Yarrowia lipolytica: one gene and its partners. The protein of the gene in region 1 purifies or fractionates together with the protein of each later gene. This does not show direct contact. Links are inferred from orthologs where the notes say so. Each region holds a gene or a part of one and is shown in the gene's direction. Other genes may lie near its edges. The genes, in order: YALI1_C07137g, YALI1_F28744g, YALI1_F39001g and YALI1_E26336g.

Region 1 (7,577 bases):
TACAACAAATAATGGTTGGAGCTGCTCAAACCCGGTCTAGAGAACTCTTCATCTCTTCAGTCGGACTCTTCATCGTTTAGGTTGAACGCTTCAACGCTTCAGTCGGACAATTCAACTCTTGAAGTGGCCAATCCATGGTTTCCTACTGTCCTCTAGTTCACCTCTGGCTCTACCACCTCTCCTATGGGAATAACAACACTTCGAAACACGTCTTTTGTTCACTACTCGTCCCTGATCGTATTTCACTATTCTGACCTACTCTCTAAAGGTATCATTCATTATAAATACAATTTATTACCACGCGGTTTAGATCGCATGTTGCGGTACATACAGTGCCTGAAGTTGAGGTTAGAGCATTACACTGGTGTGTACCAATCGAGACCTAGGCTCAAAGTAGACTGTTGTCCCCTCCTAGTGTCGCTTTTTGGGGGAATCATGTTTTTGGTCGCTCTGACCATCGCTACCACTAGAGGGTCGACACCACCAACGTACCATCTGAACTGGCACTAACATACCATTTGTCAACCATAGCCACATCATTAACACAGCCACTATGACCACCGACCTTTCGCACCAGACGACCAGTATCGCCCTTCCAAATCACCACTGTTCGATCAGCAGACCCGGAAATGATATGCTCTCCATCACTAGACCATTTCGCCTTGAGAGTCGCCTGCTCAATACCGTTAGGAGCATCAGTCAAACACAACAGTTCTCTCGACTTTTCGTCAGCCATAAACGGCTTTGTGTCCCAAACTCGCACGGTATTGTCGTGAGAATGGCTTGCCAACCGGTTGTGATTGTAGCTCAGACTCGTGACGATATCTGTGTGTCCATCAGCGCCCTGGAAATCAATCTGCTGATTCATCCGCAAGTCCCATCTGCTGATCACGTCATCAACTCCTGCACTCCACACCGTCTCGTGTCCATCTGTAGCCACGGCAATCACGGGATAATTCGTTTCAATCACACGTGACTCGCTATCCTTCTCTCGAGGATCCCAAATGCCAATACTGCCATCATCCGAGCCACTGTAGATCAGCTCGTCGTTTTGTCCTCCACAAACCACGTTCACAGCAGCCGTATGGCCCTTGAAATTCCGGATCTTGTGTCCGCCATCAAAAATGGAAATCGTTGTGTCTGTAGAACAGGTAACCATACGATGCTTGAGGAAAATCGCGCCCAAAACTGCTCCCTTGTGCTTTCCAACCTCGTACTGCTCAACCGTGTCATCACGTGACAGCTTCCACAGCTTTACCAGTCCCTCCAGATCGCCTGAAAGAACCTCCTTGTCTGCACTCAAATCACACGCCAGAACCGGGCACGAGTGTCCAATCAGCTGGATCGACGTTTCTGTCACGTGATCTGACGCAACATGCGTCGACAGTTCGGTTTTCGGCTTCTTGACCAGCGACATGGTTGTGTATTTTTGTATTAGAGCTCATGACAATATCGAGATGGAATATCTTGGTGGTGTGCATATATGCTGCAGTAGGGTAACTGTTGGGTTTTTTGAAGAAATGGGCAAGTTTTTGGTATCAAAATGGCCGCCTTAATGGGGCGACAAAAATGGTGCCAATTATTAAACGGATGGGGTTTGATTTATTTAGATTATATATGTTTGTAGCAACAGTCGAATGAAGGTATTTCAAAACCTTATTTAGAAGATGTCAATATATACGAATGTTGGACCATTAAATTAATAATATCCCTCCTAAATTTGGGTAGACAGGGTCCATGGAAGGAAGAGAGCCACTTTTCATCATCTATTATCACATATGTATGTCACTTAGTGCTCTACACCTCCTCCATGTAGTCTAAGGGCTCGTTTCGCATGTTCTCAGGAGGTTCGATGGAAGGAATGAACTCCAGCACCACAAAGAGAGCGCCGATTCCGAAAATAATGAACGAAATGAGGTATCGGAAGAAGCCACCAGACATGAGAATGGCGGCAATCAGAATGTACAGAATACCTCGCCCCACGAATGAGAAGAGGAACGAGCCGTACTTATGTGCCACTGGGGGGGTGGCAAACTCGAGAGATGCAATTGAGTAACCAAAAATGATAAGATAGAATGAGAGGAGAATCTGCGTTAGTAATGGAACTGGGTTGCCAAAGGTTGGGACGACAACAATCGATGAAGGGCAGTATCCATGGCGAGGAGGCCATGAGCGAAGCACATCAGAATGAGCAACAGTCATTGCCAGGCTGAATAGTACGTCTGAATCAATAGCACGCCAGAGGGGATAGCACGCCAGAGGGGATAGCACGCCAGAGGAGATAGCACGCCAGAAAACTACCAACGATGTGAAACAAGACAGATCGTGAGAACGATCCCATTGAACCAGCAGGAATAGAGGACTTTGCTGGAGACAAGGTTCGATTCTCTGCAGCCCATCTGTGGTATCTGTTTTCTCGTTTCTGTTGTCTTGTTCCGGTTCATTGTTGTTCCGTTGGTGCTCATCATATTGCTGGTATCGCTGAGTGCTCCGGCACAGTCTCGATAGGTGCTCCGACACAGTCTCTCGTGATTGCCATTTCCACTGATGTCTTCAGCATATCAATTATGTTGGGCTATCGTATCAGTGGCAACCATCGCTGTCATTGTCCGTACAGTACTCACATCTTGTCTGAGTTAGTATTGAAGAGGTAGCAAGTCCAGCTGGCCCGATTGAGCTATGATTTAAGGGATTGTGAACAGCAGCCTTTAGAAGCATTCAGTCAAGTGCTTCTAAAACACCTCTGAAATGTAGTGCCAACAGTGTGATGCGCAACGTGTGTGGATGCCGTATCATCACGTAGACAGAGTACCTGTATCTGAGGGTCCCCTAACAGCCACTGTCGTCACAAAAAGACACCCAAGCGCCGCTGTATCGCCAATCCCACACAATGTTGTCGCTCAAGCCCTCAATCTCCAGTCACTGCTCCGACTTGCCCCCTACCCGCGCCCATACCGTGTACTCACAAACTAAGACCCAACTGAGTCAGTCCTCCAACGACGGTCAAGGCGCCAACGCCGATATTGGCGAGCCGGAACGCACCGCCCAAATCCATGCCTGAAATCGCCGACATGTCTGTGTGTATATTCTTGTGTGTCTTTTTTTGGTGTGTGTTGTGGTGTGGAGATGGCCAAGTGGGATACTGGAGATATGCACGAGGTGCATGTGGCGCTGGACTGGGAGGGTGGTTACTAGATCTCCGAGAGGAGCTATGGGGATTTTAATGATACCATTTTGATCGACTAAGCGAGAGGAATGGAATGCACCTTTCAGAAATTCAAAACTGCCACTAATCGCCATTGTAAATCCCCCCCTAATTCCCTTAGTAAGCTCGTCCCGTTGACTCAAACTAAAATTAGCCGCTGATAGCGAGCCTATAGTGGTCACATGAGATAGAGAGGTTGGTTGTGTGGCGATATTCGAGAGAAGGGAGCATGTGGGTGGTTAGTCAGACGAACATACTGCTTAGTCAGGTCAGACGTCACCGCTCATTTGCTCTCTCTTCTTTTCTCTCCTCTTTTTTTTTTCTGCAACTCTTGCTCATGTTAATTTCAATCCAACTAATGGCTCAACTAAAAGAAAGTCATCAACTAAATCTAAGTAATACCAACTAAACACTACTTGTTCCTGACATGGCTTCTCGGGATAAATATCTTGTCGTATATTAGTAAAAACTATTTAATCTTCCCCACAAAGAAGCTTCAAAATGCTTTCTTGTTCAATTATCACTTATGGGAGCTTTTATCGCACCAGTACATTCTTTACCATAGTCCCTACACCAGCTCCCCACAATATACTCACCATATGCCCCTTAATAAACCCAAGAAGACCCAATATTGGTATCATTCCACTCCTCCAGAACTCAGCTTTCTATTTCCACCACTATCCCCTCTATTTCTCCAAGTCTTCAAACAAGACAACCCCTCAACATCGCCACCAATGGTCAACAAACATCACATCTATAGTCTCAACTAAATATAAGGTTCTTCAACAAATTGTCGTATCAAACCACCGCTTCAATCTTCCCCTAAGCTAATTAAATCTGCTCAAAAACAGTACTGTAGATTTATTACATCATCCTGACCCTCCAGCCCAAATCTCATGTCTTTATCTCTTCTCTGGAACATACCACCGGCCGCCCAAATTACGTCGTTTTAGCTTTTAAGGCCCTAACCCTCAAATATTTTTCCACCTTGCATAACAGTGTAATTTTTTTTTTTTTTGGACCTCACATCTAACCCACAACTAAACATCATGTCTCTGGCCCGATCTACCGCGCTTCTGGACGAAAAAAACACACTGACGAGCTCCGTCACCGACAAGTACCGTCTGGCCGGCAAAATCACCCAGACGTGTCTGCAGCACATTATCCAGACCGTTCTGACCCAATATGAGACGTACACGGTGGGAGAAATGTGCCGTATGGGAGACGAGTTCCTCGAGCGAGCCACCACCGCCGTCTACAAGTCTGTGGCCGAGAAGGGCATTGCTCAACCCGTTCGAATCGAAAAGCAGGAGTTTGTGGGAGGAGTGAGTCCCGAGAACGGCGACAAGTTCCAGGGAGGCATGTTGGCGCCCGGCGATCTGGTCAAAATCTCTCTGGGAGTCTACATTGACGGATATACTGCCCAGGTGACACAAACAGAGGTTGTGCGACACGTGCCCAATACCTCTGCTGGCGAGACCGAGCAGCCTCTGACCGGATCTCCTGCCGATGCGGTCTGTGCCTCCTACCTGGCGTCCGAGGCGGTCATTGCCTACCTGGCCCAGGTGACCGATCCCAACCCCGGCAAGGCTGTTGGAGTTGTCACCGGTACCAAGATCCGAGAGCTCGTCGAGAAGATTGCTGCTGCCTACCACGTCAAGATTGTGCCTGGATCTTCTGTGCGACGTATCCGGCGTTTCCTCGCTGGTCAGCACGACATTGTGCTGGAGCGAGACTACAAGGGCGTTCTCTGGGAGGTTGAGGGCGAGGAGGAGCGAGCTCTTCACGCCGTCAAGCTGGCCGAGTCCGAGGCTAAACAGGAGTCCACCGAGGGCGCCGTCTGTCTGTACGAACAGCACATTGAGGAGGAGGAGAACTTCACCGTGGAGGCTGGAGAGGCCTACCAGGTCGACATTCAGATGGCTGCAGCTCCCCAGAAGGGCGCTATCCGTCTGTACGACTTCCAGGGCTACGACGAGTCTGGAACTGTGATCAACCAGTACGGACGAGACTTCTCTGTCACCTATGGACTCAAGATCCAGGCCAGCAGAAAGCTGCTCAGTCAGCTGGAGGCTACCACCTCCGTCTACCCCTTCAAGCTGTCCCACGTCGAGTCCAACGTTGCCAAGGCCCGTCTGGGTTTGGGCGAGATTCTGGCCCATCAGATTCTGGTGCCTATTCCCGTCAAGGTGGCCAAGTTTGTGCCTCTGGCTGCTCTCTACGAGTTTTCAAAGAACTCCAAGGCCCGGGCCCGAGACGAGGCTTCCAAGGCTGTTCCCGTTGCTCGAAACTCGTCTTCTGTGCTGCTCACCAATGACGCCTGTCTGCGACTCACTGGAGGCCAGGCCTTCCCTCCTCCTTATGTGCACTCTGCCTTTGAGCTGCCCGAGGACGTGACCAACCTACTCAAGCTGGTGGGCCACAAGCACGGAGCCAAGGTCAAGGATGTTCTTCCCGGCGACGTCGACATGGCTCCTGCAAAGGAGGCCAAGATGGAGGAGTAATCGAGTAACCGATAGTAACCGACCGAGGAGACAAGGAGAAGGAGAAAGAAGCCATGGAATTGGCCTATGTTGATGCGATGAAGCAAGCAAGCAATAGCTCACAACGAGCAACACCTAGGATATTTTGGATGGACGTTAGCATTAATAGATTGTTATGATATATGGTTCTCGGGACTGGAGGGACACCGACCACTGTAGTGTTTGTAGTGGCACAGGTACTGCCCAGCGAAGACCAGCTGGCACCATTTCTGTGAGATGCTGAACCTCCATGAAACAATACGAAGCATGACTGAGTAGTTAGATGCTATACCAGGTCACTGTGTATCAGATATCTCCGCCAACCCGTTCTATCCAAATAACAGCTGCGGCGATTCACAACACTGGCTGTATCGCCGTCTCAATCACTAGACAGTCTATCAAGACCTTTATCACCGGAGTGGACATACACTCATTCATGGCTCGTTTACCTACTGTACCTGTAGATGTGCTTGGTCATTATCGCAGGACTGGACGTCATGGCCCATGGCTCTTAGAAACGGCTCTCAGAAACGGCTCCCAGGAACGCTCCCAGGACCTGTATCCGATCTTACAGGCATTCTGTGGAGCTCTAGCTGGTCAAGTGATCATTGGACTCAGTTCCAACGTGTTTGGAAAACCATTGTCGGTCATCATTTCCTGTATCGTTGGAGAAGCAGTTTTTTCCAGAGCAGAGGCCGGGATCAATGAGTCTGCTCTTTCCTCCAGGTTTCCGTCGACTATTGGAAAGTCGTTCCCGTTTACTGTCTGAGCTGGCCCCCCGACGTACCACTTCACCGACGCTACGGCTCGCCTACCTGTTTGGCAACCGGACTTGTTGACCAATATTGGAGAACGATTTACCATTCCCGACGACCAAGATCCCCATCTTTCAGAGTACGATTACGACAAGATACTCGGACCCCAGTGCACCAATGGAGATGGTGAGAGAGAAGGGCAGTGAGGAGTCGGAAGGAACGTCTGGAGAGAAGTTTGGAAAGACTCGAATTGAGAGTCTTGACTCGGATCAAACTCGTGTGGATCACGTAATGTACTCAGGAGAAATCTACATTGTCTCATAGCTACAGACTGTCTTCGTATAATGTACTACATACGGTATTGTACATAGATAGCACCACCTCAATGCACTAAATGGACTTTTTGTATTCGAACTTGTTGATCTTATTACATCAGTGGAATCGTCACGAAATTATGAGTCCATTGGTACCTTTTTTTGGTGGTATTTCCTTTGATAAATGAACAGGTTAGGCTCCTGTAGATTCGTTCTACCATGCTACTACAAGTAAGTACGTGCGAGTACGATACGATAGTAGGCCCGGAGTATATCCTGTAGACGACGAAAAGCCCTCACTTTGTCATTGTAGACTATTGAATGGCTTTTGCGGAAACCAGTGTCTCGACTGTCTGGGACGGTCAAGCTGTGGTGACCACCAACGAGAAGGCCGAGTCGGTGGTCAACTTCCCCACCACCGACCGCTGGCACTTCCGCCCGCTTCACCTTTGCTCCTACAAGTACTGTACTTGTACTCTTGTCCTACTTGTACTCTCTTCTGCCACTTCAGTTCCCTTCTGTTTCCGTTCTGCATGTTCTATCACTGCTCATATAATCATGTCATAAACTAATTGCCTATTTCTTGGAGTCAAGGTGCTTCTCAAGGTCGGCAGTGTCCTGCTTGAGCTTGTTAAGCTGCTTTCGGAGAGCATCGAGCTTCTCCTTCTCCTGCTGCTTGACGTAGAGGTCCTCCTGGGCCTTCTCTCGTTTCTAGGTTAGTATGGTAAAATGAGGTCGAGTGAGTCGTGGGGAAAGCGACCGAGCGCACTATAGAAAGTCA
Region 2 (7,851 bases), on another chromosome or scaffold:
TTCCGGGGGGCGTCACTGTTCACATGCCCTGGGAAAGAGGGGAGTACTCCACATTTCGACTCGGTAAAGATCCAGTCCTTTAGAGAGTCCACTGACGGAATCTTCATCCTGGTCAACATGGAAAGAAGAACTTCGCACTTGCAGAAGATATGCTCGTGCAGATCCTGAATGATGGCCTTATCACAGAGCCCGCATCCTGGATTCTTCTTGGTGAAAACGTGGTCGTCAGGGTATCTCCATTTCACGAGCGGAAGTCGAGATATCCGCATGAGGTGAAGAACTTGTGCTTTGTTGGCGTCGGCGATGTAGTGTTTTCGAAGGTCATGCATTACCTCCTGCCAGACCATGTCGTCAGAGATGCCCCCGTAGTCGCTTCGTTGAGTCCACTTCTTCGGTCGTGCAAGTGTGTGTGGGAAGTTTGGCAAGTCGGGAGACGAGGTCTTGTGAAACATGAAGTTCTCTAGAGTAAGTGGTCCCATGCTCCACCGGAGGTGGTCGATTTCCGCTGTGGACACCATTCTGACCGGATGGTATCGTCTCGCGGCTGCGATGTCGACGTGTGCTTCCCGGAAAGATTCTGCTGCTCTCACGTTCACCTGGTTTCGTTCCCAGATTCTGTGATTAACTGTGTCTGTTGTAGAGGGCTCGTGATCTTCTCGAGGGTTGGCATGTTCCGCGGTGAGGGGCTTGTTGAGCTCGAAAGAAGCTCTGATTGCGTCTCGCATGGTGGGGGAGGCTGCGTAGCCCCAAGCTTGGCCTGTCGGAAAGCGGCAGTCGACGCGCTGGTGTGGCTTTTCCTGTGTGAGACTGTGAGTTCTGCTGTAGAACTGGAAGGTGCAGTCCCAAAGGGCCGGCGATGAGCCATGGAAGAACCTGTAAGCCCGAGCGGCCTTCAGGCACACCATGAAACGTCCCATGTCCCGCAGGTTCAGTCCTCCTCTGCCTACCGGAGTTTGGATGAAACCATTGCTGAAGGTTTTGCGTGTTTTGTCGGGTGATAATTTGTTGATCTTGTCGCACGCTAGTTCGTTCAGCTCTCGGATGAAGGTGTTGTCGATCTGGCTGACGTAGGGTCCAAGGAAATTCAGTTTCGAGAAGAAGTAGATGTTGATCATCCACGCCTTGCTGTAATAGGGGAGACCCCATAGTGAAAGGCGTCGCAGCGACTCCTTGAGGTCCTCCTTGATCTGAGCGTAGTGCGTGTCCAACCTTTCGCGATTTCCGAAGTGTACTCCGAGGTACCGGAAAATGTTGTCAGATGTCCGGAGCGTCGGGGCCTGTCGTGTGTTGTTGTCGGTTGGCCAGGTGGCGTCAATTGTTCGCTGCCATTCTGCGTCAATAAAGGTTAGTGGAACAAAACAATCGGGGGGGCCGATCTTCTGAAGCACCGTCTTTGACGGGTTTAGTGTGAGGCCTGAGACCCGTTGGAAGAGGCAGAGCACTCTACCAACCGTGGCCACGTCCTGGATGTTGTTGAGGAACACCGCTATGTCGTCCGCGAAAGCCGACACCTTCATGTGTCCAGCTGCCACTGCCTCCGGGTGAGTAGGGGGTTGTGGCGGCCTGTGCCCAGTGGTGTGGTGGTGGGATAGTGGCAGGCCTGGGGCCAGTCCAAACATCTCTCGGTCCAGACGACGCACAAGTGCGTCTACTGCGATGATGAAGAGGGTTGGAGAGAGAGGGCATCCTTGTCTCACTCCGATCTTGATGCGGACTGGGCGAGATAGGACACCTCTGATGTTGATTCTCGTTACTGCGTTCTGTTGTACAGCTAGGATACGGTTGATCATCAGTTCCGAGACACCCACATTTCGAAGCGTCTTTATCACCCAACTCTGGCTGATAGTGTCGTAGGCTTTCCGGAAGTCCAGTGATCCTACGACCCAACCCATGTTCAGCTGGGAGTAGGCGTTGCAAAAATGATCCATGGTGTCGAGATTGTTAGTGATGTGTCGACCCGGTACGAAACCGTTTTGGGCGCCGTGAATGCTGTCCGGAAGAATGTTCTGGATGGCTTTGTTAATGAGCTGTGTGTAGATCTTCACCTCTGTGTTGATCAAAGAAATAGGCCTGTAGTTGGAGATGTCGGCCTGATCTCCCGACTTGTACAGTAGTTTGATGATAGCGGTGTTGCGTTCGGTGCTGATGGGCGAGTCGGCTCCAGCTTCGTTGTAGACGTCCGTCATCAAGTCCCCCAGCTCATCCCAGCAGTCGCGGTAGAACCTGTACGGGATGCCGTCTGGCCCTGGCGCGCTGTTGTGCGTAGACGCCTTGATGGTATCGAAGATCTCCTCCTTGGTAAAAGACGAGTCCAGGCTTGGGTTAGCTGTATTCACCCTCCGGGTTTCTTCGGGGAAGAGGTCTAAAAAGGCGCTGTCGTCGGTGTCGTTGATATCGGCAGCTCTGTCGAAGATGTTGTCAAAGTATCGAGCTGAGATGTCGCAGAGAGAGGAGGTGTCGGTCTTCACTCGGCCTTGGTGGTTCCGTAGGGAGTGGATCTCCATCTGTTGCTTGGATTGTTCGACCCGAGCATGGAGCATCGGGTATGGCTCGTTAGCTGGGTAGGCTTGCCAGTCTGAGGCTGTTGCCATGAGGGCCTCGCGGCGTCTGTTGTCTGGGTGGTTGGAATCTCGAAGTGCGCGGTTTTTGGCTTCCTGTTGGATGGTGACCTTAATGTTTTCTTTCAGGCATTGCAGCTTCAGGCTGGGCTTCAAAGGACCATATCGCTTCAGAATGGATTTGACGTGGAACTTGAGCCAAGCAATGTACTCTGTATCAAAAACCCACCAGGGCATCCTCCAGGTGCCTGGGCCTCTGTCTTGTCGCTGGGTGAGGTTGCCAAAGTTAAAGACGAATTGGACCGCGTGGTGAGAGGACTTCGTGATGTTGTGACCCTGCTTGTTGGTTACCAGTTGTGTGGATTTGATCCACTGTGAGAGTGTCGAAGAGATGTGCAGCTGATCCAGGCGCCTGCCAGCTCCGCGGCTGTTGTTGGTGTGAGTGTAGAGGCCTTTTCTGTGTTTGCTGATTAGAGTGTAGGTGTCTAGTAAGTCCCAGTTAGCTAAGAAGTCCTTAAGGTGAGTCGTCACTTTTTCGCCAATCCTGCCGTCGTTGGAGGCGACCGCGTTCCAATCGCCTGCCGCTATCAGGGGGTATTGGCAGGGATGGAGGCGTAGATAGTCGTCTAGTGACTGGTAGAACTGCCGGTTAGTGAAGGGGGAGGCTCCCTGCTCGTTTGGTGCGTATACGTTGATCAGCGATAGGTGTCTGTCGGTGCCTTTGATGTGCACGTCGGCCAAACACAGTCTGTTGTCTAGGGCTGGGAAGTATTCAAAAACTGTTGTAAAGTTTGTGATGGTGACGTTGTCGGAATAGACTAGCCCCACGCCGACGCTTCTATTAGAAACACCAGCTGTGGAGCCGAGGAGGGTGTAGTGTCTGCCCCCCGGGTAGGGCGAGTTTGAAATGATTTGTTGAGCGGTTTGTAGGGAGGAGTCCACCCAGTTCGTCTCTTGAAGAAGGACGAGATCGGGGTAGTGAGTAGTTCGAATAATGTTTACAATGGTGTCGGGTAATCGGTTAAGCGCTTCCGCCATCTTAAAACCGCCGATGTTAGCCGTGATGACTTTAACATTCGGAGATTTCATTTTGGCCTGGGTGCTCTTACATGGGGCTTTAGAAGGGGTGGTAGTAGAGGTGAAAGACATGCTTACTGGTTCTGCCCCGGTCGGAGCATTGTGTCCACCTCATGGAGAGTGGTCACCCTAGGGGGGTTCGGGGGACTGTTCGGGGGTTCTACAATCTCGTCTACCGAGCTGAGTGTCGCACCGTCGTGGAAAACTTTGAAGTGGCATGTAGACAGGAATGTCGGGCACCTCCCGTCAATGATGAACTGTGTGTTAGGCCGGTGGGAGAGACACTACAGTATGTATTAGAGAGATGCAGGTATATTGTTCAACTAAAGATGTAACAACAACGTAACTATAATTCCACCCAATAGACAGCATGGAGGTTAGAGCTCGCGTAACACCCTATCTTACCGAAGATGTAGATATACTGGGAGAAAAGTGAAATTGACAATCGCTTTCAAATAAGCCAATAAACCAGTTCCACTATTTAAGCAAACCTCTTTCCTTATGTTTACACCCCAAGCCTATCTTGCCACTCACAAGTTGCCTCCCACAACACTGCACCTTGGACGATAAGGTTTTGAAGTTTGAATTTTTTTTGAAAATATATTCAGCGTGCATTTGAGAACCACTCCACACACAGTACACAATGCCCAAACCAAAGGCCCCCACATCCAAGCGAACCTCTACTCGACTGAGAGAGGGTATCAAGAAGAAGGCTGCCGCCCATGGTCGAAAACAGCGAAAGCTCGCCAAGAAGGACGTGACCTGGAAGTCCAAAAACAAGAAGGATCTCGGTATCCCCAACTCCTTCCCCTACAAGGAGCAGCTTTTGCAGCAGCTGGACGCACAGAAACAGGCCGAGGTGGCCGAGAAGGAGCGAAAGAAGGAGGAAGCTCGACAGGCCCGAGCTGAGGCCCGGTCTCGAGGCGAGGACGTGCCTGATGAGGAGGAATTTGAGGACAACCCCATGGCTGCTCTGTTGGCCAGTGCACGGGCTGCTGCCGAGGAGTACGATGGCAGTGATGACGAGGACGAAGAGATGGAGAGCGAGGTTACGGAGCTGGATGTCAAGGTCAACCCTGGTGATGATGTGTTTAACGAGTCTTCGCGAAAGGCCTTCGACAAGATCTTCAAGACCGTTGTGGACCAGGCTGATGTCATTCTCTACGTTCTGGACTCTCGAGATCCCGAGGGAACCCGGTCTCGAGCTGTCGAATCTGCCATTCTGTCCAATCCCGACAAGCGACTTATTTTCATTCTTAACAAGGTTGATCTGATCCCTGCCGAGAACCTGCAGAACTGGGTCAACACTCTGCGACTCACCTTCCCCACTTTGCCCCTGCGAGCTGCCAACTCCGGTCCCGTGACCGGCCGACAGCTCTGCAACAAAAACGTGACCCAGCAGTCCACCTCCACCGCTCTGCTGGACGCCCTCAAAAAGTACGCTAAGGACTCGCAGCTTAAGCGGTCTGTCATTGTCGGAGTCATTGGCTACCCTAACGTTGGAAAGTCATCCATCATCAACGCTCTCACCAAGATCCATGGAGGAGGACGAGCCTGTCCCGTCGGAGCCCAAGCCGGTGTCACCACCGCTCTTCGAGAGGTCAAGATCGACAACAAGCTCAAGATTCTCGACTCTCCGGGTATCGTTTTCCCCTCCGAGAAGGCCAACAAGGTGCAGGAGCAGGCCCGTCTCGTGCTCTTGAACGCAATTCCTGCTAAGCAGATGGTCGACCAGGTTCCCGCTGTCCAACTGCTGCTCAAGCGACTCACCAACGACGAGTCTCTGTTGCAGCAGTTCATGGAGCACTACTCTATCCCCCCTCTGTCGCACGCCAACTTCAAGGACTTCACCACAAACGTGCTAATTCACGTGGCTCGAAAGACTGGCCGACTCGGCAAGGGAGGAATCCCCAACCTCGAGGCTGCCTCCAAGAACATCATCAACGACTGGAGAGACGGGCGAATTCTCGGATGGACCCAGGCTCCCGAGTACACTGAGGCCCTTGCCGACGAGGAGAACCGACCTGGTATCTCGTCATCCAAGTCCCTCAAGGCTCCCGCCAAGCAGCAGGACACCAAGACTGTGGTCCAGGAGTGGGCCAAGGAGTTTGATCTCGGCGGTCTGTGGACCCCAGGAGAGGATGACGAGGACGTGGACATGTAGGAGTGCAAAACGGAAAGTACACATGATATGTAATAGGTTATAGTATAGAGCATTATTTGGTATTTCAGAGTGTGTAGGAGAGGGGTACAACCAACTACGACGTAGTTCGGATGAGATCAGGAAGTGGACAAGTTTAGCAGTCACTTCTAAACCAAGCATATGGGGGCGATTTGAAGGTCGTGTGTCCATGCACTTTTAGCCATCATACTTGTGCTTCTCTCGTCTAATGTTGATCCATCATAGCAATCCCTTTTCTGACCAAACTAAGTTATTATTGTTTCCCGATTTGGACAGTGATGAAGGAGTCACAAGACCGTTACAGCAGTGTTTTTTTGGCGGCTGTAGTGGAAGTGAGCAGGATATCAACATATTAATCAAATCAAAGACTATATATGACTGTTCTGGTACCTTTAACGTCTTCACACGACCTACACCGACTATGTACCACCACCCGTCCGCTCTTATAAGAACGTCCACTTTGGGACATCGGATATGCATACGCGTCTAACCACCGCCATTTAGTATTTTCGACAGTGACGCGACCAGCTAGACATCCAAGAGACAAAATTACGATAATGAGTGAACTGGAGCAGATTCGTCTGGCCAACATTGAGCGAAACAAAGCACTGTTGGCGGCTCTGAATCTTCCCACAGAGGCCAAAAAGGAGAGCGTGGACCCTGAGGTTGCGCCGAAGAAGAGTAGGAAACGAAACTCAGCTCGACTTGAGTCGCCTGACGATGGATCTGACGATTCCGCGCCCAGAACTCGACGAAAATCGCGTCGGCTGCAGGGTCTGGATCCCGAGGCAAACGCACTGAAGCAGGAGGACCTGGGAGGCAGCGGTGAGCTCAAGCGACTGATGCAACAGCTCAATGGAGGAGTCAAGAAGGAGCGACTGTCTGGAGATCTGAGTCTCAAGGAGATGCTAACTAAGACTGGACTCGACGAAAAGGAGTGGAGTGCGTCGCTGGGCCAGCTGTTTGGAGACGGATCGAGGGTCAGTCAGGGAGATTTCTTTGATGAGATTGTCAAGAAGGAAGAAGAGGATACTAAGGACATTGACATCAAGCAGAGCAGAGACAACTTGAGCGGTCTGCAGCTCGGAAAAATGTCCAAAGTAACTAAAGAGCGAATCTACATCACTGCTGTGCATCCTGGTACAGATAAACGGATTGTTTTGGCCGGAGACAAGATTGGAGTGTTGGGTATTTGGGATGTTGATTCCGATAACGAGCCCCTACAGTTGCAATTGCACCACGCTACCATTCCTGCTCTTTGTTTCGATCAAAATTCCAACGATATTTTGTATTCCGCTTCCTATGACGGTTCTGTGAGAAGTCTGGAGCTGAAAACAGGCAAGAGTGGAGACGTTTTGGACTTGGAGGCCAAGAAGAACGCCAGTGTCGGTGTTTCGGACGTGGCAAATCACTCCCAACCTCATCTTCTTTATGCCTCTACTCTTTGCGGTCACCTGATTCGAAAAGATCTACGAACGAAATCAACTGAATATGAGACTCTGATTCTCGGAGAAAAGAAAATTGGTGGCTTCTCGGTGGACCCCATCAACACTCATTTGCTTGCGACCGGATCGCTGGATAGATCGATGCGAATATGGGACCTGAGAGCAACTGAAACTGCCAGAACCATTCCTGGGGGAGAAGTCATCGACACACAGTTCCAGATGCCCCATCTCCAAGCCATCTACAACTCCCGACTGTCTGTGTCTTCTACCGACTGGAACCTGGCTGGCCAGATTGTCTGCAACGGCTATGACGACACCATCAACATCTTCAACCAGAGTGACTACTTCTTGGATATGTTGAATGACGGTAACGGAACAGAGCCTGTGAAGAAGACCCGACGAACCAGAAATTCCAAACTTGCTGAACCCGAGATCAGCGACCAGGAGCTGCCCGAAATCAAGAAACCTTCCGTTCGAATCAAACACAACTGCCAGACTGGCCGATGGGTTACTATTCTCAAAGCTCGATGGCAACAACAGCCTCTGGACGGCGTGCAGAAGTTTGCAATCGCCAACATGAACCGATACA
Region 3 (6,998 bases), on another chromosome or scaffold:
ACCAACCTCCTTTTAAGAACACCCCTGGGGGAACCAACATTTCGAAGGTGCACAACAACGATCCCAACTACACCTCGTTAGAGTCGTATCTCGACAACCTGGATGTCGACGCAGTGATCCGAGCAGTGTACCCTCTATTGGAGTTCAAGGACTCCGTCATGTCTTCCCTGGAGTCTTTCTTTGGCGACTCCGATTCTTCTACAGCGCTCGGCATGATGGCATCTTCTATTTCCGACGCTCTTTCCTCATTCACTAACTCAATCATCAACCCAATCATTAATCCCATCTTGGAGGCAGTCACTGAGATTCTACATGCATCTGTCACTCTGCTGTCATACCACGATGATCAGATTGACGTATGGATTAACTCAAAGTCCACCGATCCCACTCATTCTCGACTGTCTAAGGACCATTTTGCAGCATACCTAAACGAGCCTGCTGGCCTCGTGGCTGCAGAGGTGGTCAAATACGTCGTTCCCTTTGTGGTAGAAGCCTGGGAGGATCCCTCTATTGATCCTCAGACTGTTGTGGATGAGGCACTCCAAACATTCCATCATCCTGCTCTTGCACACACCAAGCTGCATCGAATCATGCGGGCCGAGGTGGATCGATGGATTCAGACCTTCTCTGACGAGGAGCGAGAGCATATTCTGGAGGGCCTTACCTCTAGAGGCGTTCTTCATGGCCACAATAATGCTGAGCACTTGGATGTGAACAACGTTACTTACGAGGACCCTTTTGATCATACTGGTAGTGAAGAGAAGGCCTCAACCTTCCTTGATTACATTGATTACTTTGGCTTCTTCAACCAGCAGGGTTCCGGCTCTGGCTCTGGCTCTGGCTCAGGCAGCATGAAGCGGGAACACAAGGATAAAGCCGAGGATGTGGCCAACGACATGGATGCTGAGGGAGCAGCTGACTCGGAAAAGCATCATCAAGACCATGCTGACACGGCCCAGAAGAAGGCTAAGGACAATGCAAAGAAAGGCGAAGCCAAGCATAACGAGAAGGCCAAGGCCAAGGCCAAGGCCAAGGCCAAGCCTAAGCCCAAGTCCAAGAAGTCTAAGAGTCAAAAGACGCATTTCCACGACCATGCTCACCATGTCGAGGACCATCCTGACATGGCCAAGCAGCAGGCCGCTGAGCAGGCTGCCTCTGCTCATGACGAGGAGGGTTCAGCTAGACGAAAACCCCAACAACCATAGACTAGATAAGAGTACCTACATAAGCGTTGTGCTTGACATAATTCCCTCTCTCCAGTGTCAATAAAATATTTAATAGACGACGACTCCAGTGTATACACATCCGATACAAACAAGCATACATATATACATATTGCCATGAACATGGGTATCTCGGAAAGAAAGCGTGACCGGGTTTAGCTCTATAGGATTTACTCTTATCAGCTCATAAGACGGTTGTGTCTCTCCACTCATATCAAGCCATGTTAACACACGGCCTCGAAACGCTTATCCTTATCGACGATTAGAGCTCGTCCAAGGGAGGGAAAAATAGCCGTGAGGGGCAAACCGATCTATTCAGGTTGTTGGTAACTGCCGCCTTTTCTGCACCTGTTTCTCATTCTAGTCTCGCACTAAAATCAACACCCGCTACTGGCAGCTCCAAGCGGGGGGCATGGGTCAAGTATTGGTATTAGCTGCGATAGTGTATGATAAGCCAATTACGACCACACTCTAAAGGGTGGGAGAACTGCACGCGACTCTCTCAAAGAGGGGAATTAGAATGGACTCCTCGAAGCCTTATTCCAACCCGTTCAATAATCACCCAAGCACGGGCATGTATGTTTATGTGTTTTCAGTGTTTCGGAACATCCACGGCAGTGCCGAGATAAGACTTGAGGTATGCAGGAGTGGGTCGAGATGGGTCAAATTTTTATGCGTGTCAATTGAACCCTAATATATATATTTTGGTTCCAGAAAAGCGACCCTACTTTCCGTTTCTACCTTCCGTCACTACACACACACAATGTCTTCCTCGCCCATTCCCTCCAACGTCAACGTGCTTCCACAGACCCGGCAGCTTCTTGGTCTCTACTCCATCATCCGGGACAAGAACACCTCTCGGTCGGACTTCATCTTCTACTCCGACCGAATCATCCGTCTGCTTGTCGAGGAGGGTCTCAACCAGCTGCCCGTGACCGATAAGCTCGTTAAGACGCCAACCGGCGCTGAGTTCAAGGGTCTTGCATTTGAGGGAAAGATTTGCGGAGTCTCCATTATGCGAGCTGGCGAGTCCATGGAGCAGGGCCTTCGAGACTGCTGCCGGTCCGTGCGAATCGGTAAGATTCTCATTCAGCGAGACGAGGAGACCGCCCAGCCCTCTCTATTCTACGACAAGCTGCCCGAGGACATCTCTAGCCGATTCGTCTTCCTCCTGGATCCCATGCTTGCCACTGGAGGTTCTGCCATGATGGCCGTCGAGGTTCTCATTGCCCGAGGCGTCCCCCAGGAGCGAATTCTCTTCCTTAACCTCATTGCATCTCCCGAGGGTATTGCTGCTTTCGCTGAGAAGTTCCCCAACGTCCAGATCATCACTGGTGTCATTGACGACGGTCTTGACGAGAACAAGTGGATCCAGCCCGGTCTCGGAGACTTTGGCGACCGATACTACTGCATTTAAATCCGGTCTCCCTGGAAACAACTCACATACCCTTCAGTATATAAAAACATAATCGTATATGATTGCATACTTGTAATAAATGTTAGCTATGGATCGTTTGTGTGTGTGTGTGTGTGTGTGTGTGTGTGTGTGTGGAGATGATGGATGAGGTGCAATCTAAACTGGTTCCGGGGGCTCGATGCTGGATGAATCAACTCATTGTAGAATTGCCTGGTCCTTCATTCATACCCTCCTCATCATTTGCCACTTCTATCTGTCTTTGTTGTGAGGTTGGATCCAGTGCTTGTATGTTTGTCTCTGCTTTTGCTTGAGCTTCCGCGTGAGCTTCTGCCTGTGACTCTGCTCCCTGTAATACCAGATTCTCCTTGTAGATGCGCAATTCCTCCTTTCGAATGTCGGATTGACGGAAAAACTCGATCTGCTCGTCCGTCAGAGTCCGTTCAACTCCATCAGGATAGAAGCCCAGGGAGGGCTCAGTGTCCTCGTCTTGACCTGCCTCATCAAACTTGATTGTGCCCTGAAACTCGCCTAGATGTTTCTTATGGAACTCCAGCAGATCCTGGGTCGAAATAGACATGTTTTTGGGTGGCGAATGGTACAATAATTGAGTGGCCACTTACACAGACTGCATATTGGGTGTTTTGATTTTGGATGTGGTTTCGATAGAGGAGTATCAAAGCTAATTTTTCTGCCCTCATGCAAAGCCAAAAAAATATTTGCAGCTAGTGCAGATATTTTGGCAGGACTTCCCATCCATCTTCTAACCACACAGCATACATCACAATGCCCAAGTCAAAGAGAAACAAGGTCATCGCTCTCACCAAGGTCGAGAAGAAGACCCGGGAGGACAAGGAGGTGATCGTCGACGAGATCCACAACTACCTCGACGAACACAAGTACTGCTTTGTCTTCTCAGTAGAGGGCATGCGAAACACCTTTTTCAAGGATCTCAGAGCGGACTGGAAGGGCAGCAGAATATTCTTTGGCCGAACCAAGATCATGGCCAAGGCTCTCGGCAAGTCTGAGGAGGATGAGTACAAGGCTGGACTCGGCGCACTGTCTGAGTACATGTCTGGAGATGTTGGTCTTCTGCTGACCGACGAGGAGCCCCAGGTCGTCAAGGATTACTTTGAGTCTTTCGTTCGGGAGGACTATGCACGAGCCGGCCAGGTCTCTACCGTTACTTTCACAATCCCCGCCGGCGTTGTCCATACCACCGGAGGTAAGATCCCCGCTGAGGACGATGTTCCCGTTGTGCATTCTATGGAGCCCACTCTCCGATCTCTGGGTATGCCCACTCAGCTCAAGGCCGGAAAGGTGGAGCTGTTCGCCCCCTACGAGGTCTGCAAGACTGGCCAGACTCTGGATTCTCGACAGACCCGTTTGCTCAAGCACTTTGGCGTCACCAGCTCTTTCTTCAAGGTCCACACTGTGGCCTACTACGACTCTGAGAAGGAGGAGGTTAAGCCCTTCATTTCCGCTTAGATGTCTCGGAACATATTAATCAATCATTAGACACGTTTCAATAGAATAACTATGGGAGGAAAATATTGTAGTTTTACGCTGTATTTCCTTGTACAGTAATTTGTGCATATCTAATTTGTAGTCATTTTCCATGTGGGTTAGCTCAAATTTATTCGACACCTTTTATGCAAGGCGCGGTGCTGTCCATTATCAACCTCAAAAACTTTCGACCATGAGCAAGAAATCGTTGGCCGCCGTTGGAACGCCACTGGATGAGCTGAAGGAGAACCAGACCATCGCCAAGGTCGCCCAGGCCAAGGGCAGCAACATATACGAGGTGACTCTGCCTCAAGACTTCTACAAGAGCCACGGGTTCAAGAGCCCAGAGGTCCAGGTTGAGATGCCACCCAAGTTCAGACAGACCGTGTGGGTCAAGCGGGGTGGCTTTGTTGTTGTTGACGTGACTCCCGATGACAAGATTGCCGGTGATATCATCGAGATCGTGGTGGACGATCGCACATGGCGAAAAATGCCCTACTGGCCCGCCGAGTTCAAGAAGGTCGGTGGATGGCAGCAGGATTCCGACGAGGAGGAGGCCGATCCCTTTGCTCTTCCTGACGACGAGTCTGATGAGGAGGAATACGAGGAGGAGCAGAGTTAGGGGGTGAAGGGGTTCTAAGCGGTGTATATATACTGGAGATGATATACAGTTGGACACCTTCTCTCTGTCACACGACCTGACGCAACAGCTAGACCCATGTCAGAGTCGTTCAAAAACTACAGCATGTAGCTAATCTTTAATACATTCATATAATAAAGCACACTTGCAATTGTACTGTAATGCTTTAAAGTACAGGTACCAACAGCGATAAGCGTGAACAGAAATAAAGAGTAAGCCAACTGCTCTATGTTCTGATACACGCTAACAGTACTTCACGCTACACGACATGGGCACGACTACGAGGTCCGTAACTTGGTATACAAAGACAGGCGCAGATACAATAAATGAGCGGCTACGCGTTACACACGGCTGTCCTCCGCCCGACACCCATCAGGCCCTCTTTTCAACAATATATTCATGCAGCACAATAAATACGATACTTCTATACGTGGCATGCGGGGTTACCACAAGCTCCAGCCGTCGGGGCCTCGTTCCAGCTCCTTGATTTCGGAAATGTCTCCATTGGTGAGGTGTCCGTAGATGTGCGCAAACTTTTCGTTTCGCGATCGCACAAAGTCCCACTGTAGTCGACATCCGGGCTTGCAACCCACGGCACCCTCGGTTAATGGGGCGCCGGGAGTGTCGGGAATGTCAATCGCCAGCAGATAAACGCGGTCGTGCTTGTTGAAGTACTTGTTGAGCGTCTCCAGCAGCTGAGCCTTGGTGCTAAGGTGGATGAAGCCGTCCTGGATATCAAGGGGCACGCCAGGCAGCACGGTTTCGGGGTTGACGGTGCCGTTCTGAACAGCCTCGGCCGGCAAGGATTCCAGAATTTTGTAGATCATGGCTGCGGTCGCTTGAGATGGGTGGTTTTTTAAAAAGTCGGTCTTTAGAAAAAGGCAGACTAATAATCTCCTTGGTGATGTGTAGTGAGGTGGGTGGAGTGAATATCCAAATTAGACTTAGACGGATTATAGTGCGTGGTGCACACACCCGCTGGAATGTGCCTGCTGTACCTTTCGGAAAATGAAAATCGCAAAGTTAATCAGCTCGCTTGTGTAACCGAGCTGTAACTGTATGGACTGAAGTGGGGCGGGTGGCACCAGCTGACACGAGACTCTGACACAGCGAACATTTTTAGGACTACCGACTCGAGACCTTATCAGGAGACCCCAAGACTCTATCCTGCCAACAAGTCTGTTTCAGAGTTCTCAAATAGCTTTCTCCTCTTTGCTGGCTTGCTGCACGGAATAAAATAACGCCCATCACGCAGCATACATATATGGTGTCATTTCCTGTGAGAAGTGCGGTACAAGACAGGAACCAGGCATAGCAGCCAATTTTTTTTATTGCAACACTTGCTTCTATTCAATAATGTACTGTTTATATTATTACCTAGGAGTGGCGTCGATTCCCGCCTCTCCTTGATTTACCCCCACCACATGCAATTAATCCAAAATGTAGTTACCCAACTTGTCCATCTTGAGGTTCTCAATGCCTCGCTCAGCAATGGCCTTCTCGAGGGGATCCTCCTCTTCTTCCTCCTCTTCTTCCTCCTCCTCCTCTTCTTCTTCCTCGTCTTCCTCGTCGTCTTCCTCCTCCTCAATGTCGTGCTCCTCCTGATCAGCATCCTCGATCATCTCAGCGTCCTCTGCAAGCTGCTCGTTCTCCTCATCGTCCTCTCGGATCTGGTCGTCGACGTCGTTCTCGTCCACCTCCAGACTCTGGGCCAGAGCGGCCTCCAGGTCCTTGGACTGCTTCTTGGAGAAGCCAGATGCACCCACCAGCTTGTCGATAGCCTCACCCTTTCGCTTCACGTCGCGGTCGAAATCGGGCCAGGTCTTGGACACGTAGCCCAACTTCTTTCGGAAAAAGAGCTTGATACACTCCACGTCTCGCTCAAAGTACCGTTTGGCGTCCACGTGGTCGATGGACACACACTGAGGGAAATCAATGACGACAATCTCGGACTTGGGGTCCTTTCGATCAAAGTTTTCTCTGATCATAATGTTGAACTCGTTGAAGTCGCAATGGATTAGTCCGTGCTGTGCCAGGCGCACAATGAAGTCCATCAGGGTCTGGTAGAGTCGAGCAGGATCATCGTGCTCCTGCAGTTGACGCATGGGGAAACCGTCAATCAGAGACATGACAATCTGATGTCGCGACTGGTCGATGGGAGTGGGCACCTCGAAGCCCTCGTCGTGCAGAGCCTTCATGAAGGCAAACTCCTTCT
Region 4 (7,225 bases), on another chromosome or scaffold:
ACGTCAAAAAATCTTGTGCAGAACTGCTTGCAAATATAAAAAGATACATGCCTTCGACCAGATTTGAACTGATGATCTCAGCATTACTAGTGCTGCGCCTTACCACTTGGCCACGAAGGCAGGTTTATGCCTTGTAACGGATCGGTGATGGGTCAATCCTCAAGATATCCCTAGGTACGAGCGGGAACCGCTCGTCCTACTCTACAGAACAGTACACCAATAGTACGAGCTCCGGAAGTCGTATAAACATAACTTAACTTACATACTTGCGAGTGGTGGCTATATATACAGGCATCTCAACCCTAACTCTGTAAAGCACGTCACTATCCACGTGACCTAGCCACGCGATACCAAGTATTCATCCATAATGACACACTCATGACGTCCTCCGGACGTCATCATCGTCCAGTCACGTGCCAAGGCACATGACTAATCATAACACCTTATGACTAGCTTCTGAATCGTTACATGCCTATACAGGCAAAGTGGACTTCCAAAACTGAATTCAGATGATTAATCCGGTCAAGAGATGGAACAGAAATAAAACGTGAACAAGCGAACACGAATGTCATGCGCTCTTCTGAACAACCGATGTCGAATCCGAATCCGATTTGCGGGTATAACATTGCCTTTAGCCTCAAGTAGATGAAATGTATTTCCCTAGAATAAAGAAAACAGAATCTTTGGCATTGAAACAAGCCGATTCACTGATGGTGATCTAACAAAAACAGCTTTAATGAGATTAGCTGATACCAATTATATTTATATGACATTAGTCGTGGTCAGAATTATTTTCATTTGGTTTCTGTCACGTTCTTCATGATATGGTAATACGCAGATAGAGGAGCAGAGTATGTACTGTAAGACCAACGTGAATCTGTCGCCAATGACACCACCCTGGGACCATTTTCGGTATATCTGTGCAGTGCCCCTACCGGAATTCAATCATTTCATTAACATATAAATAACAGCCATATTCACAAATACTTATTGAGGATCAACTTGGCTTTGACAATGGCAGTAAGAACATCCTCCTCCTGCTTACAAAGAACTGGCGCCTTTTCATTCTTCTCGTTGTACGAGGACAACACCTGGAAACGCGTCGTCCTCCCCTTCCGAAGATACTCCAGGACATCTTTTGGCGAAAAAGTGTCAGAACCGATCTGAAGGGCCAATTTCACCCACAATTGAGCATGACCATAAAAGGCGTAAAGCACTGGAGAGTAAATCTTTGAAGCTCCTCCTTCCAACAAGCCACGATCAGGGCTGTCACTTAACGCCACCTCTAGTAAATCCATAGCATCATCGTACAACTCCTTCTCCTCTCCTTTAGAAACTCGTTCCAAAAACTGCCCAGCATTGACGACATGTCCTGCCCGTTGAGTGCACCGTTTGATGTACTTATGAAAAATGAAGACAGTGTAGTAATCTGGTAGGTAGACACAGGGGTAGACCTGGGGAATCACCTGATGATGAGTAGCAGTAAAGGTAGTGAATCTGTCGAGCAGGTACCACTCAGCCTTCGGCTCTGCGCCAAAAAATTCGACGTTACTCCGCAGAATTTCGACCCATTTTTCTCGTATGACCATACTCTCCACAAATGCAACCTCCCTAAGATGGTCAATTGTCTCGGGATCGAAATTGGGACCGAAATCTACATCTCCAATGAACAGAGGAGTGATGGGTCGTCCCTTGCCTGGTAGGATTCGGTTGCAGATTTCGGACATGCTGCCGTGGGAATCGTAGAAACTGAGCAAAATGAAAGGGTCAGCCTCGACAATGTCCTGGATCACATGCAAGAGAGGTCGAACGGTTGCCCAGGCACTCAGATGTGGCGCACTGGGGGACCCACTGCATGCCAAGTAGTACCCATAGACTGTCCACAGCGATAACCACAAAGAGGTTCTTGTGTACGACAACAATGGACGTAGATGATCAGAGAGTTTCTTCAGATTTTCATTGTGAGGCACCATGTCTCTCAGCAGATTCGAATCCATTCCTTCGTGTTTTGAACGATCGACAGGTACCTGTGCCACATCGTCCCAACCTTTATGCTCCAATGTGCTTGTCCGAGTTTCCTTCGCTTGTGTTGACGTAGTGTTCGATTGCTCGCCCTCCTCTTCGATATGGTCAATGAGAGATGATCGTAGCACAAGTTTCATGCGTTCTTGGGCTGGTCCCGATCCCTTGGAGAACTCCAGCAAGCGTCTCAGAAGGGCGGTGGCGCGTGCTCCAGGCGTCTTCTGACAGTCGCGTGTTCCCCGATGAACGCTGTTGTACGTCATAGTCTTGACGGTCTCCCCTCCTAGGTGCGAGAGAGGATACGCCGCGAGAGTCATGAGAATGGCTGTTTCTTTGGACGTTGGCAGCTCGACGGGGGTTCGGAGCAGACCCGTCTCGAGCACGCTGAGAGCCTCGTCAAAGATGCATGAGTCAAACAGATGGCTGGCGAGTTCCAGATGTCGATATTCCATGTGTGGTGGCGGCGGAATCACGTCCACAGATCCATATTGGCGTAGAGAACTCTATGCAGGGCCATGCAGGTGGCGGAGATATCGATGGAGCGTGCAATTAGTTACACAAATCAAGAAGAAAAAAAATAAAAAATAGCGTCATTGTTATTCGGGTGATTGAATCATTTTTGTCATTTTTGCTTGTTTTTTCCTCTTGTATATCACTAATACAATAGTTCGTTGACATTCGGGGAGTGGAAAGTAAAAAGCTAAGTATACACTTAACCATATAGTCCCTTTGTTAATTACAGTAGTTGAGATAACGGAAGAAAAGCAACAGCGATACAAGTACCTTATAATGAAATGAATGTATATGCAGAAAAAAAAAAAAAAACCTGGGCAAGTGTCGAAATTTGGGAATGGGCACGGGTCAGAAGAGCATCTAGATTATCAACATTATATCCTCCCTGTACTCCATTGTTGGTCCGGGCATCGTTACAAGGATTCGTGGACACTTCTCCAAGCTACAAGTAGCCTGACGTACAATGATCAATATGGTGTACTAGAAATACCTGGTGGTGTGGACAAAAAGAGAATAAGAAAGATAGTTGACCACTATATGAATATCGGAAGTCCAGGGGCCTGTATCAGCAATCCACTTGAAGTCGTCAACTGGCATGTCCAACACTAAAGTAACAGCACAGATCTTTATATGCCCACCTGGCGTATACAATGGATGCTATGGGGAAGGAAAAAAACATCTTCGGAGTAACATTGATACGTTTAATCCAATTTCAAGCTCCTTGGGCTCTCAGATTGCCCTAAAATTCGTCTGTTGATTCCTTGTACTCGGTTGCACGTATGGTAGACCCACAATCAATCCATTAACAAGATAGTCGCACACCATGGAATGAAAACGAGTACAGTTCTGCAACAGTAGTACTATTTTTAAAGCGATCATCTAGTTATAATTTATATATGCTGTACTCCTCGTGCCACAGATGTCATACTTGTTGAGATATACTACCCAGTGAGTCCACAGCATCTTCTGAGTACATGAACTTGTACATTATAAATTGATAGAATAATATAAATATGAATAAATAATAAATCAAATTTATATAAATAAAAGAATAAGAAATAAATAGTAATAAATTAATATGGGTTTTTTTGTTTTTTTTTTTTTTTTTTGTATAAAAAAGAGTGTACTACAACTCCTAACAAGAGGTTTGGACCCGTGACACACAACAGCGTCATGCAGCACAAATGGGTGGGGGTAGAAGACAAAAAGTATCTCGGTTTTTTCTGAAGTCTTCAGGGGGTTCGATGGAGTCCGATTTTTTCTTCTCTCAAGCGTAAAGATCCGATGAACATATTTATGTGGTTATATTGTGGGTTATTTTCAAATATTCCATTTTTGGCGATTTTATACGATATTTGAGATACTGAAATGTCACATAGGGGTGGAAATAAGGAGCCAAAAGAAATTAGTTTCAATGATATAAAATAAAAATAAAAATAAAAATAAAAATAAAAATACCACTAAACCTCTTGATTATCTATCGCCATTCAATCGACTCTGTATCCTTTTATCATCATATTCCCCTCATTTTTTCATCATTGACCCCTCTCCTATAAATTAAGGTTCAAAATCCACTCTGATCACATGACTTTTCCCTTTTGGGAAAACAGTCACAGGCTTGGAAACTCCCAAGGTCTATTTTTTATAATGGTGAAAAATCCCGTCTCATCTCATCAGTCTTCATCAACAATGTCGTTCAACAAGATTGTCAAGACCTCTGCCTACCACTCTCGGTTCCAGACCCCCTTCCGTCGACGACGAGAAGGTAAGACCGACTACTATGCTCGAAAGCGACTCGTGACCCAGCACAAGGCCAAGTACAACACCCCCAAGTACCGACTTGTTGTGCGATTCACCAACAAGGACATCATCGCCCAGATTGTCTCTTCCCAGCTCAAGGGTGACATTGTTTTCACTGCCGCCTACGCTCACGAGCTTCCCCGATACGGTGTCAAGCACGGTCTTACCAACTGGGCCGCTGCCTACGCCGTCGGTCTTCTTGTTGCTCGACGAGCTCTCAAGAAGCTCGGCCTCGACGAGACCTACAAGGGAGTTGAGGAGGTTGAGGGTGAGTTTGAGCTCACCGAGGCCGTTGAGGACGGTCCTCGACCCTTCAAGGTCTTCCTTGATGTCGGTATGACCCGAACCACCACCGGTGCCAAGTGCTTCGGTGTTCTCAAGGGTGCTTCCGATGGTGGACTTTACGTCCCCCACTCCGCTTCTCGATTCCCCGGTTGGGATATCGAGTCCGAGGAGCTCGACTCCGAGACCCTGCGAAAGTACATCTTCGCTGGCCACGTTTCCGAGTACATGGAGGAGCTTGCCGATGATGATGAGGAGCGATTCCGACAGATCTTCCAGTCTTACCTCGACGACGAGGTTGACGCTGACTCCGTCGAGGAGATCCTCCAGGCTGCCCACGAGCAGATCCGAGCTGACCCCGACCACAAGCCTACCGCCAAGAAGACCAAGGCCGAGTACGCTGCTGAGTCCAAGAAGTACAAGCAGAAGAAGCTCACCAAGGCCGAGCGAGACGCCCGTGTCCAGGCCAAGATCCAGGAGATCCGTGCTCAGCAGTAAGCGCGATTTTCGAATCTGTAAAAATAAAACTTTTAACCCATTTTATGCGGAAACGACTGGCCTAAGACCAGGACATGAAAGCTACCTGTAGATGATTAATACACAGTAATACCCGAGGGACGGAGCGTTAATAACGAGGGAACAATCTGATCTTTACGAGCAAGCAGATTGCAGTTCTGTTTCCCTTCCGAGCTGATATTCATTCAGAATCAACAGTGAAAATTTTGAAGGTTCATGCAGGCGGCTGATCGCAAGGACTAGGAGGAGGTAGATCTGAGAAACACTGACATCATAGTAGATACAGAAGGGTGAAATGTTGAATGCAAATGGCGGGGCAGTCAGTAGTATTACTTTCAGTTTCCATTTCAGCTAAAACTATCTACTATGATGTCTGTGGGGACTCGGTATGCGGACTACTCATACTGTACGATACTTGTAGTCGTTAGAAAGAAACGGGCATGGTGAGTTGATAAAGATAATTACTTGTAGTTGTGTGCATGGAAATGACATCTGAGAATCGTTGGTGACCACAGAACCCATACTTCTTAGACAGACTATACTCTGATTGATACAAGTGTCCCGTTCGCTCTTGTATAGCATGGTATACAACCCTTCATCTGTGGCTACCAGACCAGAACAATCCCGCTTGACAACTTCTCAATTCACACTCAAGTCGGTGACCCTTTTTGATGATCCTGTGTCCACATTTATACCACAATTATCCGTATGGTTCTTGTACAAGTACCATCCTGTGTACAAGTACAGGATGTACTTGTATATGCTCACAGTTTAGATGCTATTACGAACCTACAAGTAGCTTGTACATCAACTCTCGTACAAATACTCGTACAAGTAGTTCATGTTTATAGCATCACTTCTCATCCATGTCTCACCGGTTGGTCTTCCACGGAACACTACTGTGCTTGTTACGCTCACCTCGTGTTTGGGTCTGTGAACGGAGAGAGAGTGGAAATATACTTGTAGCGTTTTGCCAGAAGTCTTCGTGTCGACAGTTTGGTTAATCTCCAGCTTCAGCACTATTGTTCAGGTATTCAGCGTTCTTGTGGGTCGTGTCAGAAGTGCATTAATTCATACTGCCTCCATGTACTCGTACTGTACTTTCACGGGTACTCACCGAAGATACTGTCAAGTCCATGAATGGGCGTCTCACATATCTGCCGGAATGGCGAGTCAATTCTTCACACTCTATAACTTCCTCATTCGGTGGATGTCTCTTGTACAATAACAGCAAGTTGGTGGAGTTATGAGTGTATTTTCGGGGGGACAGGCAGGGCAGCAATACCAGAACACTCATACTGCTGCTCTGCCAGTATCATGAAGTTTTCATTGTCAACAGCCTTGATATCCGTCACCAGTCTTAATTTTTGCCAATTTCCTCCAATTTCCTCCAATTTCTTCTTTCTTCTGTAATGCAGAAAAAAACTCCGCATCCACTTTAGCCGACTCTGGGACGCGCACTGCATTAGCGAGCGGTTTAGCGACCGAGTACATACTGTAGCTTCTGACGTACCTGGCTACAGGTACAATGAGCCGCGCTGTGAGCTCAAATCAACACCGAGGATCGCTCAGTCATCGCCAAATTGTTGCTTCTCCGCGTCGCTCCAGCCACGTGACCTAAGTTTGCTCATTTTTTTCGTCCCGCTCTCTCGTCACGGACCTTTTTTTCAACATGCACCAAGTGTCGTTCTATTTTTGCTGTTTGTCTCATTCCGGCATGTCCTGTAGCAATATGGCAAAATGGCGGGGCAACAAAGAGGCGCGGGACATGGGCTTCAAGACACAAAAGCCCGGGGCAGAGAAGATGTGAGCGTCAAAGAGGACAAACAGGTGGTATGGCGCGAGTAGACACGACCGGGATGCTTGCGCATCTCAAACGATACCGTTTTTCTCCCCGGATGCTCGTCTCGTATTGCGCAAATCGCTCAAAAAGGCCTGAACTCTTCTGCAAACGGATTCGGGGAAGTCTAACCCACTTTGACCTTCCCCCACTTGTTTTTTTGGGCTAGACTAATGTACAATGCGTCTTTGTTTTTGTTTCACCTTGGTAGGGTTAGAAAAGAGCACGAGTGTGAGTGAAAAGCTGGTCCTT

The links.
Region 2: the proteins of YALI1_C07137g (region 1) and YALI1_F28744g purify together in Saccharomyces cerevisiae (affinity purification with mass spectrometry; 13 studies listed by BioGRID, with this or other methods). This does not show direct contact. The link is inferred for Yarrowia lipolytica from reciprocal best matches to the Saccharomyces cerevisiae genes ARX1 and NUG1.
Region 3: the proteins of YALI1_C07137g (region 1) and YALI1_F39001g purify together in Saccharomyces cerevisiae (affinity purification with western blotting; 10 studies listed by BioGRID, with this or other methods). This does not show direct contact. The link is inferred for Yarrowia lipolytica from reciprocal best matches to the Saccharomyces cerevisiae genes ARX1 and MRT4.
Region 4: the proteins of YALI1_C07137g (region 1) and YALI1_E26336g purify together in Saccharomyces cerevisiae (affinity purification with western blotting; 9 studies listed by BioGRID, with this or other methods). This does not show direct contact. The link is inferred for Yarrowia lipolytica from reciprocal best matches to the Saccharomyces cerevisiae genes ARX1 and RPL5.

Annotation. Positions count from the first base shown.
Region 1 is NC_090772.1:709,513-717,089, forward strand, and holds YALI1_C07137g (uncharacterized protein), read left to right. Parts: upstream 1-4,254; coding exon 4,255-5,709; downstream 5,710-7,577. Other genes in the region: YALI1_C07109g (uncharacterized protein), read right to left, coding at 467-1,417; YALI1_C07117g (uncharacterized protein), read right to left, coding at 1,798-2,202; YALI1_C07152g (uncharacterized protein), read left to right, coding at 5,763-5,860, 6,256-6,483, 6,653-6,759, 7,259-7,368; YALI1_C07170g (uncharacterized protein), read right to left, coding at 7,373-7,507. UniProt on the Saccharomyces cerevisiae protein: Probable metalloprotease involved in proper assembly of pre-ribosomal particles during the biogenesis of the 60S ribosomal subunit. Accompanies the pre-60S particles to the cytoplasm.
Region 2 is NC_090775.1:2,870,218-2,878,068, forward strand, and holds YALI1_F28744g (uncharacterized protein), read left to right. Parts: upstream 1-4,278; coding exon 4,279-5,799; downstream 5,800-7,851. Other genes in the region: YALI1_F28739t (uncharacterized protein), read right to left, coding at 1-3,707; YALI1_F28765g (uncharacterized protein), read left to right, coding at 6,375-7,851. UniProt on the Saccharomyces cerevisiae protein: GTPase required for 60S ribosomal subunit export to the cytoplasm.
Region 3 is NC_090775.1:3,896,678-3,903,675, forward strand, and holds YALI1_F39001g (mRNA turnover protein MRT4), read left to right. Parts: upstream 1-3,423; coding exon 3,424-4,125; downstream 4,126-6,998. Other genes in the region: YALI1_F38954g (uncharacterized protein), read left to right, coding at 1-1,205; YALI1_F38986g (uncharacterized protein), read left to right, coding at 1,987-2,640; YALI1_F38998g (uncharacterized protein), read right to left, coding at 2,831-3,217; YALI1_F39009g (uncharacterized protein), read left to right, coding at 4,256-4,765; YALI1_F39022g (uncharacterized protein), read right to left, coding at 5,227-5,610; YALI1_F39041g (uncharacterized protein), read right to left, coding at 6,214-6,998. UniProt on the Saccharomyces cerevisiae protein: Component of the ribosome assembly machinery. Nuclear paralog of the ribosomal protein P0, it binds pre-60S subunits at an early stage of assembly in the nucleolus, and is replaced by P0 in cytoplasmic pre-60S subunits and mature 80S ribosomes.
Region 4 is NC_090774.1:2,629,547-2,636,771, forward strand, and holds YALI1_E26336g (60S ribosomal protein uL18), read left to right. Parts: upstream 1-4,119; coding exon 4,120-5,115; downstream 5,116-7,225. Other genes in the region: YALI1_E26320g (uncharacterized protein), read right to left, coding at 978-2,474. UniProt on the Saccharomyces cerevisiae protein: Component of the ribosome, a large ribonucleoprotein complex responsible for the synthesis of proteins in the cell.